Ovis aries: one gene and its partner. The protein of the gene in region 2 purifies or fractionates together with the protein of the main gene of each other region. This does not show direct contact. Links are inferred from orthologs where the notes say so. Each region holds a gene or a part of one and is shown on either strand. Other genes may lie near its edges.

The links. The genes of interacting proteins can lie anywhere in the genome.
Region 1: the proteins of RPP40 (region 2) and RPP25 purify together in Homo sapiens (affinity purification with mass spectrometry; 3 studies listed by BioGRID and IntAct, counting the BioPlex papers as one, with this or other methods). This does not show direct contact. The link is inferred for Ovis aries from reciprocal best matches to the Homo sapiens genes RPP40 and RPP25.

What each region holds. Positions count from the first base shown.
Region 1 is NC_056071.1:31,410,330-31,417,185, reverse strand, and holds RPP25 (ribonuclease P protein subunit p25), read right to left. Parts: upstream 3,033-6,856; 5' UTR 2,876-3,032; coding exon 2,243-2,875; 3' UTR 1,594-2,242; downstream 1-1,593. UniProt on the Homo sapiens protein: Component of ribonuclease P, a ribonucleoprotein complex that generates mature tRNA molecules by cleaving their 5'-ends. Also a component of the MRP ribonuclease complex, which cleaves pre-rRNA sequences.
Region 2 is NC_056073.1:48,684,867-48,692,424, reverse strand, and holds the start of RPP40 (ribonuclease P protein subunit p40), read right to left. Parts: upstream 5,018-7,558; 5' UTR 4,990-5,017; coding exon 4,867-4,989; intron 3,754-4,866; exon of another isoform or gene 3,688-3,753; intron 3,087-3,687; coding exon 2,942-3,086; intron 1,713-2,941; coding exon 1,644-1,712; intron 971-1,643; coding exon 875-970; intron 21-874; coding exon 1-20. UniProt on the Homo sapiens protein: Component of ribonuclease P, a ribonucleoprotein complex that generates mature tRNA molecules by cleaving their 5'-ends. Also a component of the MRP ribonuclease complex, which cleaves pre-rRNA sequences.

The DNA of each region.
Region 1 (6,856 bases), on a different chromosome or scaffold from region 2:
GGCAAGAAGATCTAGTAAAGCAGGGGTGGGGAGCTCATTCATGGATGCTGGGTTCCACTGGCACCCGTGAGCACCTATCAAAATCCTGGGAACTGAAGCTGCTGGGATGGAGTAAAGGTGCAGAAAAGACAGCCAGTTTCATAACCCACTTTCTAGCATGGGAGGCAGAAACGCAGTCCACCATGTGAGCAGGGTAACACTCTGAAGGTGGGGAAAGAACATGCCCCTCTCCTCTCCACACCACAGGGTGAGTTTCTAGGCTGGAAGGCGACTCACCTGACCCAAGACATCTTCAATGAGAAAGCTTGCATTGTCCTGGTGACCCAGCAATCAGGACTTTAGACACTAGCGATCTTGGAAAATTGACCCTCTTCCAGAACCAAGAGCAGTCTCTCCTAAGACTCTACCAGGCAGGACCTCTTCTGCGCTGGATCATTTAAATTCAGATGCGGATGCCCAGTGCCAGCCCAGGGCAACCTTGTTGTCAGGACAGTTTACATTCTCTCCACACTTCCTGGGCTGCTCCTGAGAGAGTCAGACTCACACACCCCAATCCCTTGGCTCTCCCTAGGGACTCATCAAGAACAAGCCATTAGGGAGAGCAGCCAGTGCCAGAGTCTCTTTGACAAGGCCCACCTATCCAAAGCTCAAGCAGAGCTGGGGGTGAGGGTGAACTCCCTGAAGAGCCCCTTATATCAACTGCAGAAACCTACCTCTTGTTACCAGCAGAAGGATTTATTTCAGCTTTTAGCCTACAAAGTGACTTACATATTTCCCCATCTCCTCCTTTCCAAGGATGCTGTTAAGTTGCAAGGGGACAGGGTCTGCTTCTATGATCTTGGAGCTACATGCCCCTCCCCCTCATATTTGCTAGAGTTCTTCCAGTACACAGCACTCCTTCCACCCTCCCACCTGACTTGGAGTTGGGCAGAAAGGCTTATAAGGCTGTTATCTCTCAACAGACAGCTGTGCAGGGCCAGAGGCAGCAGCTTATCAGGGAGCCTGCAGTGATTCACAGCCCAAGTCCCAGCTTCTCTGCTGAATAGTAATTTCCAGCAGTGGATTTGTGCTCAGTCTCTCCTCCCCCTCTCCCAAGGGTGTGCTGTCCTTTCTCAGAGAGAGCGAGCGAGCAGTGAAGGGTAGATTCTATCCATGGGGCTGGGGGGCTCTGGGCCAGCCGTCTGGTAGGGCTGTTTATTGGCAGGAGGCTGCAGGCTTAGGGAGCCCAGTTGGATCTGCCACCCTTGGCAGTGACCCCCAGGATAGTTCATTGATGCTTCCCTTCCTCCCCCTTCCAGAAAAGCAGTATGCTGCTCCCTTTCCCTTAGTGGTAGCACATAAGGTGACCAAGGTCCCCTTCTGTCCACAAGCCCTGAAGCTACTGGAGCTAGCCAGGGAGGGCTGAGAAAGAGGGAGGAACCAGGCACTGGGTAAGGTGCTCCCAGCACCATTTCAAAGCTGTCCAGTTTCTGTGCCTGACCCATAAGACTCCAAAAGCTAAGGATTCCAGGCTGGAGGGGACTGAGACACAAGGGGGCAGACCAGAGCAGTCTCTACACAGGCTAGTGGTTAGGAAAAAACCCAGGGACAGAGCCTTTTTTGTGTTTGTTTTATTGGAAGCAAGACTCCAGCTGTGGGGCTCAGGGGAGGCGGCATGGAGAGTTCTGTCCTGGGTCTCTCCCTCTGGGCCAGCATGGGGAAAGTGGGATGTTAAAAGAGCCTATGGAGACGCCCCTGCCACCATGATCTCAGGATGCTCCTTAAAAGCAGGGAAAGGAAAACTAGAAACTGTCCTGGGGTGAGGAGCAGAATAGCCCCTTACCCCTTGCCACTCAAAATCCCCCGCCCTCAAGCAGTGGTTTCCAACCCTTTGCCCTCTGCTGACAATGGTGGGGTGGTTTCAAGAGCTCTCCTCAGCTTCCACCTTCGTAGCCCACTTCAAGAATCCTACATGAACCTTTAACCCTTGGGGTTAAAGGCTCAAGAATCCCATTGCCCACCATTCCCTCCCTGAAGAAGGTCCCCGTATGGTTCAGAAAAGCTGAAAGTGTCGTCAGGCAACACAGCTGGAGGAGCAACCCCACCACGAAGCTTCCCTGGGGTCCCCCCTTGTCGCCTTGGGGTCTATGCTTCCACGTTGTAGGTTCCAGAGTACCAAGGCGTGAAAGGCTAGAGATGCATCTCAAGGTCGAAGCTCGAGCGTAGGATTCAGCCCGTCCAGGTGGCCCAGAGGCCGGAGTTCTCAGGCGGTCTGGTCCTCTTCAGCAGCACCTGGCTCGGGTTGTGACCTCTTCGCGGAGCTCTCTCCAGCAGTAGGTTCCCCTAGACTCCTCTTGGACGTCGGAGCAGTTGGCTGGGACGAGGGGCCGGGATGGGGGTTCGGCGGCTGGTACCCGGGTTGGCGCGGATCCAGGGCATCCTTGGAAAGTAGGATGGCGAGGCTGGGCACGTTCTTAAGTACACTGAGACTGGCGGCTGGCTCGCCAGGCTTCTGCCCCGGTGTGGGCTCCGGAGGGAGGCTCTGCCACAGCTCGCGCACGCTCTGGTAGCGCAGCCGCGTGACCTGATGCAGACCCGCCAGGCGGCGCTTAAGGATCTCGGCACACGTGACGGTTTTGGTGGTGGCTCGACCGCAGCCGCTGAAGACGATGGCGCGCGTGGCTGGCTGCGCCATGCTGGCAGTGGCGAAGGCCAGCAGGTTCCGGATCTTGCTGCCCTCCTTGACCCGCATATGCACGGCGCCCGGCGCCAGGTCGGCGAAGGGGCCTGAGCCTGGGCCGCCCTCCTTTTCCCCGCTCCCCACCGGCGCCTCCTCGGAGCGCACCTTACGGAAGTTCTCCATGCGCCGTCGTTGCGGGGACGCGGGCTTCGCCATCGGGCCGCCTCAGCCCCGGGAATGCATGTCGGTGGGTCGCGTCCCGCAAGGGCCGGCAGGGTTAAGGGTGCGGGAGCGGCGTGGACGCTGGCTGGCCGATTGGGACGGTGCGATCCTAGCCTTCCACTTCTCTCCACTGGGCGCTGCTCTACTCGGCGATCTCGGCGCCCTGTGCTACGCGCCTTTAGCTGAGGCCCCGCCTCAGAGCCTGGGAGCCCCGCCCCTGCCGCCGGGCCCCGCCCCTTACCCAGCCCTGCCAGCTCGCGCCCAGCCTCACCAGCAATTCGCCCGCATCCACTCTGGTCCTCTGATATCCGGGTTTGGGAGGTGCGCGCATCGCGGGATGCCATGGCAGTGCCAGGAGTGACCTGCCAGCTGAAGTTTCCCTATAATCACCATCAGCCCTCCCTGAGCCTACCTTCATAAACCTGCAACCTAAATAAAAACTGCATTTGCTGGGCAAACTCAGCTTCAAGCCGGGTCCCCGAGCCCTTCCGCGGTTCAGCTGAAGGCCACCCACCCCTTGCCCGCTCCCAATGAGAGATTTCAAAGCGGCCTTCTGGGGACTGGGACCTCTTTCTCCCACTCCTAGAGGAACGACACCCCCACCCCCACCCCATCCCTTCGCTCCCGAGCCTCTCTTCTCGCCTGAAGGACAGCCTGCACGCTGTCAGCAGAGTGTAGTAGGCGCCGTCTCCGCTCCGCGTCTGCCCTCGACGACTATGTCTCGGCATGGTCCTCGCAGGACAACCGGAGAACTGAGGTCTCAGGCTTGCCGCGCCTGACCGGAGCTGAAGGCTCCCAGACACCCCTGCTCTGCGAACCGAGGCTCTGGGCCAGGCTGTGCCCTGGGATGAATGGGACGAGAACAATGAGACTCCCTTCTCAAGAGGAGTTAAGCTCCCTCCATCCATGCCTGAAAGTCGAGTATTAGAACTGCATGCCCTAGAGTAAGCCAGATATTGTCCTCTGCTCACGTGGATCCCCTTTCTTCTCAGGTGGAATTTGTTGTTAGTCAACCGGGCCCCCTGGGACCCAGTGGGGTCCTTTTCAGAAAAGAGGCTGGGTAAAAGCAGGTTTTGAGGGAGAAGGGAGGTAGCTGGGAAACGGAAATCTCAGGGACAGTTACCGGGTGCCCCTCCCCTGGAACTCCGCAAGACCGAGGGAGTGGCCCGGGATCTCTTTCCAGGAGAGATGGACAGTGAAGGGAGAGATGAGATTGGGCTTTAAAGGACTGCTGATGAGAGAGAGCGGGTTTGTGAAGAATACAGCTGTATTCTTCCTAGAACTGCCCCAGGGCCTCGTCCTTCATCCTTCCACCCCTCGCGGGACACACAGAACTGAAGGTGGGCCAGACCTGATCCGGGTAGGGGTGACTACGATGGGGCGTGGCGGGGTGGAGCCCTGATAGCTGCGGCGGACAGGAAGCCCTTGAAGTGCTGGGGTCATCCCAGTGCCTGGGAGAGCTGGTGCCGAGTCTTGAGACGGGGCTGCTGGGGTCCCCCTCCTCTCCTCCAGGCTGCTTTCGCCTTCTCAGTAACTCGTATCTCCTAGCGCTCGGCCCTGCTGTTTGGAACCCGGGACTGACTCCACTACGGCCCTTTGGGAGTGACTGGAGAGCAGGTGGACTTTTGAGCCCCAGTACATGAATGACCATCCTCTTCTGGGATCTCCTGCTCGCACGCTGGGGAGAGAGGCTCTGGAGGGCGCTTTCGGCTCGGAATCTGTGTTTCTGGCCTGTCGCAGCTCCCGCGGCCCCACCCCCTACCCCCCGAGGAACAGCCGTAGGAGTCGAAGGGCAGCAGTCTGGTGAAGACACAAGAATTTGCAGCACTTGGCGAGGCTCAGGGGTACTCAGGTTCTGTAAAACTGGGGCAGTTGTGGGCCTTAACGGGCATCAGTTTCGTTAGGCCTGAGAAGTCCCCAGACCGCTGGAATCTAAGTCCGAACCGGTTGGTTACGGAAGAAGAGAGCTCTCCATCCACTGGGGTATGTAAGCCTAGGCTGAACGTTCACTTGGAGGGGATTAATCGGGGGTCTTCAGTTTGGAGGAAGGGGTCTGGGAGCTCCGCGTTTACGTCTGTTGAGGATGAGGCAGTTCTGCATTCGCCCGGGTTGGCCTGGAAAGCCTCGCACCGCCATCCCCCTCCACTGCCGCCAGCTGGAGAAGACTCGGTTCACTTCGCTCCCCAATCGGTGAAGGGAGGCTGCGGAAACGGCCCGCGTCCCCTCCCGTCGCTCCCCTCCCCTTCTCCAGCTCCCTCTGCAGCACTTAAAATGTAAATGTACATCATGATTAGCCGCCGGGTCGCTAATTACCGCTGAAGCCATTCATTACCCTGTCAGCGCGCGTCGCAGCCCGCCGGCTGTGCTCTCCTGCCGGGCCGCGGAGTGGCGGGGCTTAGCGGGGAACGAGGACGGGGAGGGGAGCGGAAAGATTGAAAGCGGGGCGGGGAGGCGGGGGCACTGTAAACGAGGGTAGCGAGGTTGGCAGAGGGCAGCCAAGGGCGGGAGAGGGGCCTGTGAGCTGGATGGCCAAGCGCGGGGGTGGGGCAGGGAGAGGCAGAGATGCATTAGACAGTTAGCAAGAGAGACGAAGGGGAAGGAGCAAGGATAGCAGGGGAGGGGAGCGCTGTGGGAGAGGAAACGGGGAGAGAAGCGAGGCCCAGGAAGGACACGCCGGGGGAGGCAGGGAGGAACGGGGGAGGGGGACAGGGGGACCCGGCAGACGCAGCTGGGAGGAGAGTAGAGGGCTCAACTCTTGGGAAGGTGCCTAAGTTGAGCATTTGTGGCGCACACTCCACGACAGAAACGTGGAAAGAGTCAAGACTTTCTGTTAAAAAAGCCTCACAGTAGGACCACAAGTGTTTTTTTTTAAAATGTGTTCATGTTTATAGATGTAAATGCATTTTAAAATTATTTTTATTTTTTTGTAGTGTGTGGTGTTTTCTAGTACACACACTCTGAAGCCTCCGTTTGTGCCTTCAGAATACAAAGTTTAAGCCTGGAGGCTTGGAACAGACTGTGTAATGAGGTCCTGACCTTGAAGTCTGAGCTTCATTAGCTTCTTTTTGCCTCTTTGTGACTTTGGGCCATTAGACCCTGTGCCTTGGTTTTCTCAGCTGTAAAGTGGAACTAATACAGGAACATGCCTCATAAAGCAGTTGTGAGGCACCTAACAGTCTTAAAACCTCGGCTGGTAAGTTCTCAGGAAATGTTGGCTGATGTTATTTTTCACATATTATTTGTGATTAAAATAAATTTAAACAATTTATAGAGGGAGAGGGGAGGAAGAAAGGGAAAGAAATGGGCAAAGCCTTGGAAATAGCGGTTTTCCTAATATGTAGAGGATTAGTGAGTGGCAAAGTAGACTCTTTTCACCTTCCAAGGAGTTGGAGGGGTGACCAGGCTGGAGGCCAAGCCTTGCCAGTGCAGCTCCAGTCCCTCATCTGCAAGACCATTGTAGCAGTACACCTGCCTCTCATGGACAAGTTACTTCTTACCCAACCGTGGGAGGAAGAAAACCCCTGCTGCAGGGCAGATCTCTTCCTCCTCTGTCTCCAGTGGCAGAAAGAGGATGAGGTGCCCCTAAAACCCCTGGTCCTAGTCCCAGTCTGTTCAGGCAGGGGCTTGGGAGACAGGAACTAGAAAGTCAGAGCCAGAAGGAGGTCACATTTATCAGGCACCCACCACAGTGCCCAGCATTGGGCCAGGCACTCTCACATCTATTCCCTGATTTAATCTTTAAAATCTTCCTTTTTATCATTGTTTGACAGATGTGGAAACTGAGGCACAGAGAGATTAAGTATCCAGCCCAATATATTTAATACCACAGCTAGAAAGCAGCAACCACAGGTATTTCAACACAGGTGTTCGATCTCACCTGTGCAGTGTGAGCATTAGTCGCTCAGTCTTGTCTAACTCTTTGTGACCCCATGGACTATAGTCCACCACATTTCTCTGTCCATGCGATTCTCCAGG
Region 2 (7,558 bases):
CATCAGATCAATGGAAACAACTTTAAAAAACGGAGAGGAATTAACAGTTCATGCACACACGGCCTGCACCGCGCAACACATGCTGGATTAAAAACATCAGGAGATTCGGAAAATTCATGGATGAAAAGAGTCACTTTGTCCTCCTTGCCCTCCCTTTGGTTTACCAAATCAAAACTCTGCTTTTGATGGGCATTTCAGGACTTGCGCTAATCACAACAGGGGTTTAAAATTCACACTTTTCCCAAATACCAAGGGCAGAGATGAACTCTAATCAAGCCGTGCAGGGGGCAGCCGTGACCACCGACGTGCAAGCAGACGGTGAGCAGAGCCACACCTCCTCAGTCACGGGTGACTTCTACCGGAATCGTAACACTTGGGAAAATTAAAGGGAATTCTTTGCTAAGACCAAGTTGGAGCAGATACAAATTTGTATATGCAGACTGGGCAAACAAGGTCCACTGTCGAGCACAGGGAACTACAGTCGATATCCTGTGATAAGCCGTCGTGGAGAAGAGCACGAAACACAGCGCATATTCAGGTGTGACCGAGCCGCTCTGACACGACGCTGCGCACCAGCCACCTTCAACACAAAGCTTAAAACCTGAAGAACAAGTTGGCTTCGTTACTTCGAACCTGTGACCTGAAACACAGGCATCTAACAGACCAGGCCCCCGCCTACGACCTTTGTGAGACGCGGTCGAATCTCACAGTCGTATGCGGTCGTATGAGATCCTCTCTGATAAGGAATTTTAAAGACGAGGCAAAGCCACACTGCTTCTGCCCAAAGAGAACAGAAGCAGTTCAAGCAGGAAAACTCGAGCTGCTACAGAAGGCACCACCTTTTAGAGACTGATGGAGAGAGCACCATACTTACTGAATCTCATGGTTTTCCTGCCAGAATACTGAGACGGACGGCCCTGAAGTCCAGTTTCTTCATACGTGTCTTTATCCAGGGATAAAATTAATTTCCCTATAAATCAAATAATAATTCCCATAAAGAGACATTAAACACATAATTCGTTCTCCTGTTTTTGGTGTTAAAAAATAAAACAAAATAAAAATATAACATGTTCTCAAAGAGAAAGCAAGGCAAATTGAGCAGTTAAATACCAGTGCACACAAAGATCTTTTTATAATACAAGTGTATTATTTATCCACATATATCTTACTTATAAACAAGAGTATTATTTATAAGTACATGTACAAAGACATTCTTTATTATAGTGAAACTAGAAATTGTCTTTTTATTAAAGAAAGAATAAACAAATTATGGTACTCTTCTTTGGGATATTTTCAAGACTTTAAAAATAGTAAATTAAAACTGTATGCACCCATATGGAAAGATGTCTGGGAAACAGACCTTGGGAAAAAAAGGTAATTGAGAAACTAAATAGAGTGTGACATACTATATGTTTTATTTAAAAAAAGCAACAACCTGTATGTGTGATTTTAAATTCATAGAATGTGTCTAGAAGAATAAATACCTACCTCCTAATAAGGGCTCCTGCTAAGAACGGGAATGAGTTTGAGGGGAGCTGGATGAAAGGGTGGACCATCACTTTACTCACGCCTGTATGATTTTGACTTTTTCTTTTTCACAGTATGCATTTCCTTAAGAATGAAGGAAAAACGAGTGTGCTTACCATTTGGGAGCAGGGCAACAGTATTATCCTCGTCAATATTTGTGTTGTATGTCAGCACATAGCACGAACCTGAAAGACAGCCCAGAGGAGAAATTCAGAAAAAAAAAATCACACCTGCAAAGTTAGTGGATTAGTTTGACATGATAACCAATCCTCCAGGTTATGGGTCCTGCTCACTCAATAACCCTAAACCAGCCAAAGTGAAGGTGGAGGACACGCGAGGCCAGGCACTGCTTGTCCAGGTCCCCACCCAGGGCCTGTCTGTGCAAGCCGACTACCACGGCACGGCAAACGCGTGCAGCTGTGCGGACGCTGCAGACAGGCCCAGGGAGCAAGGGCAGGGGACGCACACACCAGCCAGGCCGAGTTCCAGGTGAGACTCAAACCTGCCAAGAGCTTGTGCGACGTCAAGAGAGCCGCTCAGGCTCCCTGAGCCTCAATTTCCTCACCTGTAAAATGGGGCTGCAGGCCCATCTCACAGTGTTGTTGCTGGGTGACGTCGAGTCGCGCAGGTAAAAGTGCCTGCCGTGCCCGGGCCCACGTCATTAGCAATTGGAGCATCAAGCTTTTTTTCTGGCTGCACCATGTATTTTGTGTCAATCTAGTTCCCTGAGCAAGGATTGAACCCAGGCCCTGGGCAGTGAAAGCCTTAAGTCCTAACCACCGGACCGCCAGGTAAGTCCTCAGCTCAAAACCAACGAAAGGAATCGGGTCGCTGAGACCGACGACAAGAGGCCAGTGGCTCCTGTGCGGCGATGCCTGCAGTGAGGGCGGATCCTTAAAGACGCTGGAATGGTTTCAAACGAGTGGCTCCCAGGAGGCAACTGGAACAAGACAGTCAACCCAGCAGACACAGATGGGATGAGGGCCGCAGGGTCCAAGCGGAAGAGGCTGGGCCCCCGTCAGCACCTGGCCGTGTAGACGGCAGTGTGGCTCCATCAGGAGACCAGCATGCTGAGACGGCTGTTGTGGGCACTGCGCGGACCACAGCGGTTCTTGCGGCCACGCCCGACGGCAGTGCATCTGAACACGGGGCCGGAAAGCTTTTCCTCTCCGCGAGCTTGGGGTGACAACACCCCCACGGGACGCGTGTGGACCCGTGGAATCAGAAACCAAACCTGGGGATGCACAGAGCAGGCTGAGCTACTGAGGGGCGGAGGGCGGGCTGCGCACGCCTGACCTCGCAGACGCGCTCCATCCGCGTGATTCGAACAAGGCAGGAGCCCCGGAAGTGTGATGTGGCCTCCCTGGCCTTCTGCATCCCACCATGTTCACAGACACTATGAGGTTTTTCTTACCTTTCTTGACAAAAGAATTGATGAATTCGTGTGTGATTAACTCATAAAGAGGTAAATCCTTCACAAAGTAATAGGGTCCAAATTCCATGACCAGATCTTTCAGTTCTTTTGATAGTATCCCACATTCAGGAATCAGAAATGAAACCTATTGGAATATACAACACAAAAAACTTATTTTTATATTAATAACAGAAGCATGGTTGACTTACAGTATTATACTAGTTTCATGTATACAGCATGTGATTCAGCATTTTTGCAAATTATACTCCATTATAGGTTTCAACAAGTTTTATTTTCATGCAGATCAACACCCGGGATTTAGTGATGATACAACATAATTAAGGCTACTAACCATTCCTCCACAACCTTCAGCAAAAGTCTGAAATTAATTTACTAATCTCAGGAAAAGAGAAATCCAACAAGTTAAGTTTTCCATTTCTGAATTCAAGTGCACAGTATAGGAAATTGAATGAAAAAAAACAATTTTAATGGGAAACTCTTGCTTGCGTTTTATCTTTTGAAAATAAGCAATATATTTGATGACCTGTTCCTGTCACTACATTAATTAATTTTTAGGGAAATGCAGTGGTAAAGAATCTGCCTGCCAATGCAAAAGACCTAGGTTTGATCCCTGGGTCAGGAAGATCCCCTGGAAAAGGAAATGGCAACCTACTCCAGTATTCTTGCCTGGGAAATCCCATGGACAGAGGAGCCTGGCGGGGTTAGGGTTAGACTTAGGGACTCACCAAGTATAAGTGAATATCCCCAGATCTGTGTATCCTGGTACCAGGCTGGAATCAGAGGAACTGTCCCTTAGGGCGTAAGGAATTTGGGGATACTGGTTATTAACAGGCCACATGGAAGCAGAAGTCAGCTTGGTGTTCCCACTGTCCCGACGGAAAAGCTCTGCACGTGGGCTGGGGAGGACACAGTGCACCTCCCAGACGGCTGTCTGTGAAGAGTTATCCATCCAGAGCAGAGACGTTCAACCCGACAGGTTTCAAGCGGTGCCCGGCCGCTCCACACCTTGAAAAAGGCCACTCTCCCAAAGCGGGGACACTAACCGGGGTCGCCACTTGTGTCTGAGACACTGGCCAGTGAGGCCGAGCTGAGATTAGGCTGATCAGCTTAAAAGCGTGCGAGGCTTCACGCGCTTCCATTTTAAGGTCTAGTCTGGAGTCCTCCCCACTTGCACGGGTCCGCGAAGCCTTCCCAGCAGACACTGCCCGGGAGTCAGGGGGCTTCTCCTCCCCAGGAAGGTCCAGTAACCACCCCCACTGACGCCTCAGCCACGAAAAGGGCCCCGGGGCGGGCGACACTTCCAGGGAACACCAGCAAACATCGCTGTGGGCAAGGCGGCCGAGGCGAATTTCTACCAAAAGCTGCCCAAATGCCGCCCTGGCGCTCTGGATGGACAAGGCGGAGAGCAGCGGGCAGAAGAAAGAGCTTTTCAGGGATCAAACTAGCGCCCGTAAGCGGTTTAGAGGAGCAAGCAGCTCCCGGGCGGAACTGGGCCGGCCGCTCCGGAGAGGCGCGCGGGTGCAGGAACCCAGCGGCAGGGAAGGAGGGCGGCCGCCCCGCCCGTCCTGGCCCCGCCCCCGCCTTCCGGCCCCGCCCCAGGGACGCAGCACGCCTGGGGCGGGGCCAGGCCACAGCAAGAGACCAGAGGCCCCGTGAACCCTGCCCCGCCCTCCGACGGCGGGGCACCGCCCCGCACCGGTGCACCCTGGGACTTGTGGTCCTCAAGCGAGCCAACACAGGAGCCTGGAGCCACGGAGAGACTACAGCTCCCAGCATGCCGAGCGAGGGCCCCGCCCCTCCACGCGACGAGGGCGGGCCCCCGGAGCAGAGCCCGGCTCTCCCCCAGCCTCCCGCGCCCGCGGGAGGGAGCGTGCGCGATCCGCGGACCGAGGGCCAGGACTCACCCTGTAATTGTAATAGTGCGTCTCCACGAGATGCCGGTGGCGCGACTTGTCATGGCCGAAGTTGGACTTCTCACAGACCAGCAGGTGCCGGGGCACCTCTCGCAGCCGGCGCAGCGTGGCCATGCTCTCCCCGCGCAGACCCTCCAGGCTCGGCTCGCCCCGCCCCTTCCCTCGCCCCGCGGGCGTGCGCAGTGCCGGCAGGGCGCACGTGCGCAGGCTGCCCGGGTAGGGGCGGGGCTAGCGCCGGGGCGGGGCTAGCGCTGGGGGCGGGGCTAGGCCTCGGGATCCTCAGCCGGAGCTCTCTGATGGGTAAAGGAAAGGCGCACTGCCCGGAATGAATTCCCTTGTCAGACTCCCTCCTCTGGGCCCCAGGTTGCCCCTTCCCAAACTGTCAAGGAGGTTTGTGTCTAATACCTTCAATAGAACTCCTTAAGACTTCTTCAAAACCACTTTTAAGATCCTTTTAAAAATATCCTTTTGGGGAATTCTCTAGCCATCCAGGGGTTAGTATTCAGTGCTGGAGCCAGGGTTCAATCCCTGGTTGGGGAAATGAAGATCCCACAAGCCGGCGCAACCAAAAAAAAAAAAAAAAGAATGAAAAATAGACTTTTGGAACCGCTTTTAATAATTTGTTGCTATTGGAAGTTATAGTGATAATTCGTTTTTCCACCTAATCTTTCTGACCAACTGTAAGTACTATACTACACACTTTTCAAACTGGAATCTGCACAGCCCAATTCTATGCAGAGAGGATGCAAAATAACAGAATATTTGTGTTCTGGAGCATCAGTTTTACTATAAGATGTGGAAGAAGAGAAGTTAAATAATTTAGAAGATGCATGGATGCATGAGTACTCAGTCGTGTCCAACTTTTTTTGCAACCCCATGGTCTGTAGCCTGCCAGGCTCCTCTGTCCGCGGGATTTCCCAGTCAAGAATACTGGAATAGGTAGCCATTGCTTTCTCCAGGGGATCTTCCTGACCCAGGGATCGAACCCACATCTCTTGAATTGTAGGCGGATTCTTTACCACTAAGCCACCTGGAAAGCCCAATTTAGAAGATAAGTATGTGTAAGTCTGGGCTTCCCAAGTGGTGCTAGTGGTAAGGAATCCACCTAGCAATGCAGGAGACCCAAGAGATGAGGGTTAGATCCCCTAAAGGAGGAAATGGCAACTCACGCCAGTCACATGTGTAAATCTCATCCAAAACTAAGGCTGGTCAGTTCTTCACCATTACTCCTGTGCCTCAAAAGTCAGATTATCTCTGCAAATATTCTAAGGGACACCAATTTTCCATTATTTTAAATAGGAAGAATGATAAAGAAATAGCAAGTTGATCAAAAAATTCCCAATCTCCTAAATCACAACAAGGCACTTAGATACAACTTACAAATATCATATTAGCATGTAAAATGCTTAAAGCATTGCTTCATGGGCACCACACAATTCAGTAGCAGTGGCCTCTCTTAGACCTGCAGCGTCAGAGGTGGACCTCTCCTAGGTTGGTACTCCAAAGCTCTGCAAAGTGACTGTTGCGATTCTGATGGTGCACCAGTAATGTGTGAAAGCAACATGAAGCTTTTCTAACAAGCCCTTTAGGTGAAAATGTTGTATTAACTTTTGAAGGCTCAGTGTAACTCCTATGCGTGTAAACTTCAGCTTTTCTCTACAATACTTCATCAAAATGGCTCTGTCGCCCCTCCGCGCTGTCTCTAGTCCACAACCACTGCTGGCCGCCTTTCTCTCTGGTCACTGCAAATGCCAGCCTCCCGACTGTCTTGCCCTCCTACAGTCAGCATCCAGACGATCTCTTGAATATATGAATAACATGACATATATCTAGGGCCCAGCCTCTACACCTGTCTGCACCACACATCGATTAACAATAAAGAGACGTTTCTTTATGACTTGCTGGGTTCTGGGCACATAATAAATACGTGTGAATGACTCTCCAACCAGTTACTGCCCCTGGAGGACAACAGGCATACTCCGTTCACCTTTCCAGCTCTCGCACCATTCAAGCACACGGTAGCTGCCCCATAAATACGTTTGTTTAACAAATACTTCTTACCCATATTTCCATACCCAGATCCTAACATTCCATCAGGAGTCAAAATATTAACAACTTGGATAAATGAACTTGCACGTGAACAGAGGACTGGCCCGGGGGAGGGGCTGGTCCAGTTTAAGGTGGGTTTGCAGCAGACAGCAGGTGGTCAGCCCAAAGGCCTCGCTCCCTGTCTGCTCTCCAGCTCGTGAGGAGGGCAGAGGAGCCACCACCCTCCTGTTGGGCCTGGATCAGGCTCCTCCTAAAGCTGGGGCTCTAGCCCTTGTGTGCTCCAGGCCTGTAGGGCACAGCCCCTCGGGCTGGAAAGGGCTCTGTCCAGGCTCAGCGATTCTAGCACTCTGGACAGCTCCATTTCCCTCCAGGTGTCGGGGTGGAGTTTGGGATCAGGACCCTGTCCCGTGTGTGCAGAGGACTCGGGGGCCTGCAGACAAGCTGACTCACAAGGATCTTTGAAGAGCGCTGCCCACCGTGGCTGGTGGTCTCATCTCTCCCACGCCTGAACTGTCGAGAGACACAGGGTCTCCAACCAGAGGCCCCAACCTGAGCCTGGGAGGCTGCAGAGACCGAGGTTTAGGGCACAAGCTCACGGGCTGGGGAAGGATGCAGCCGCGGGTGGGTGGGCTGA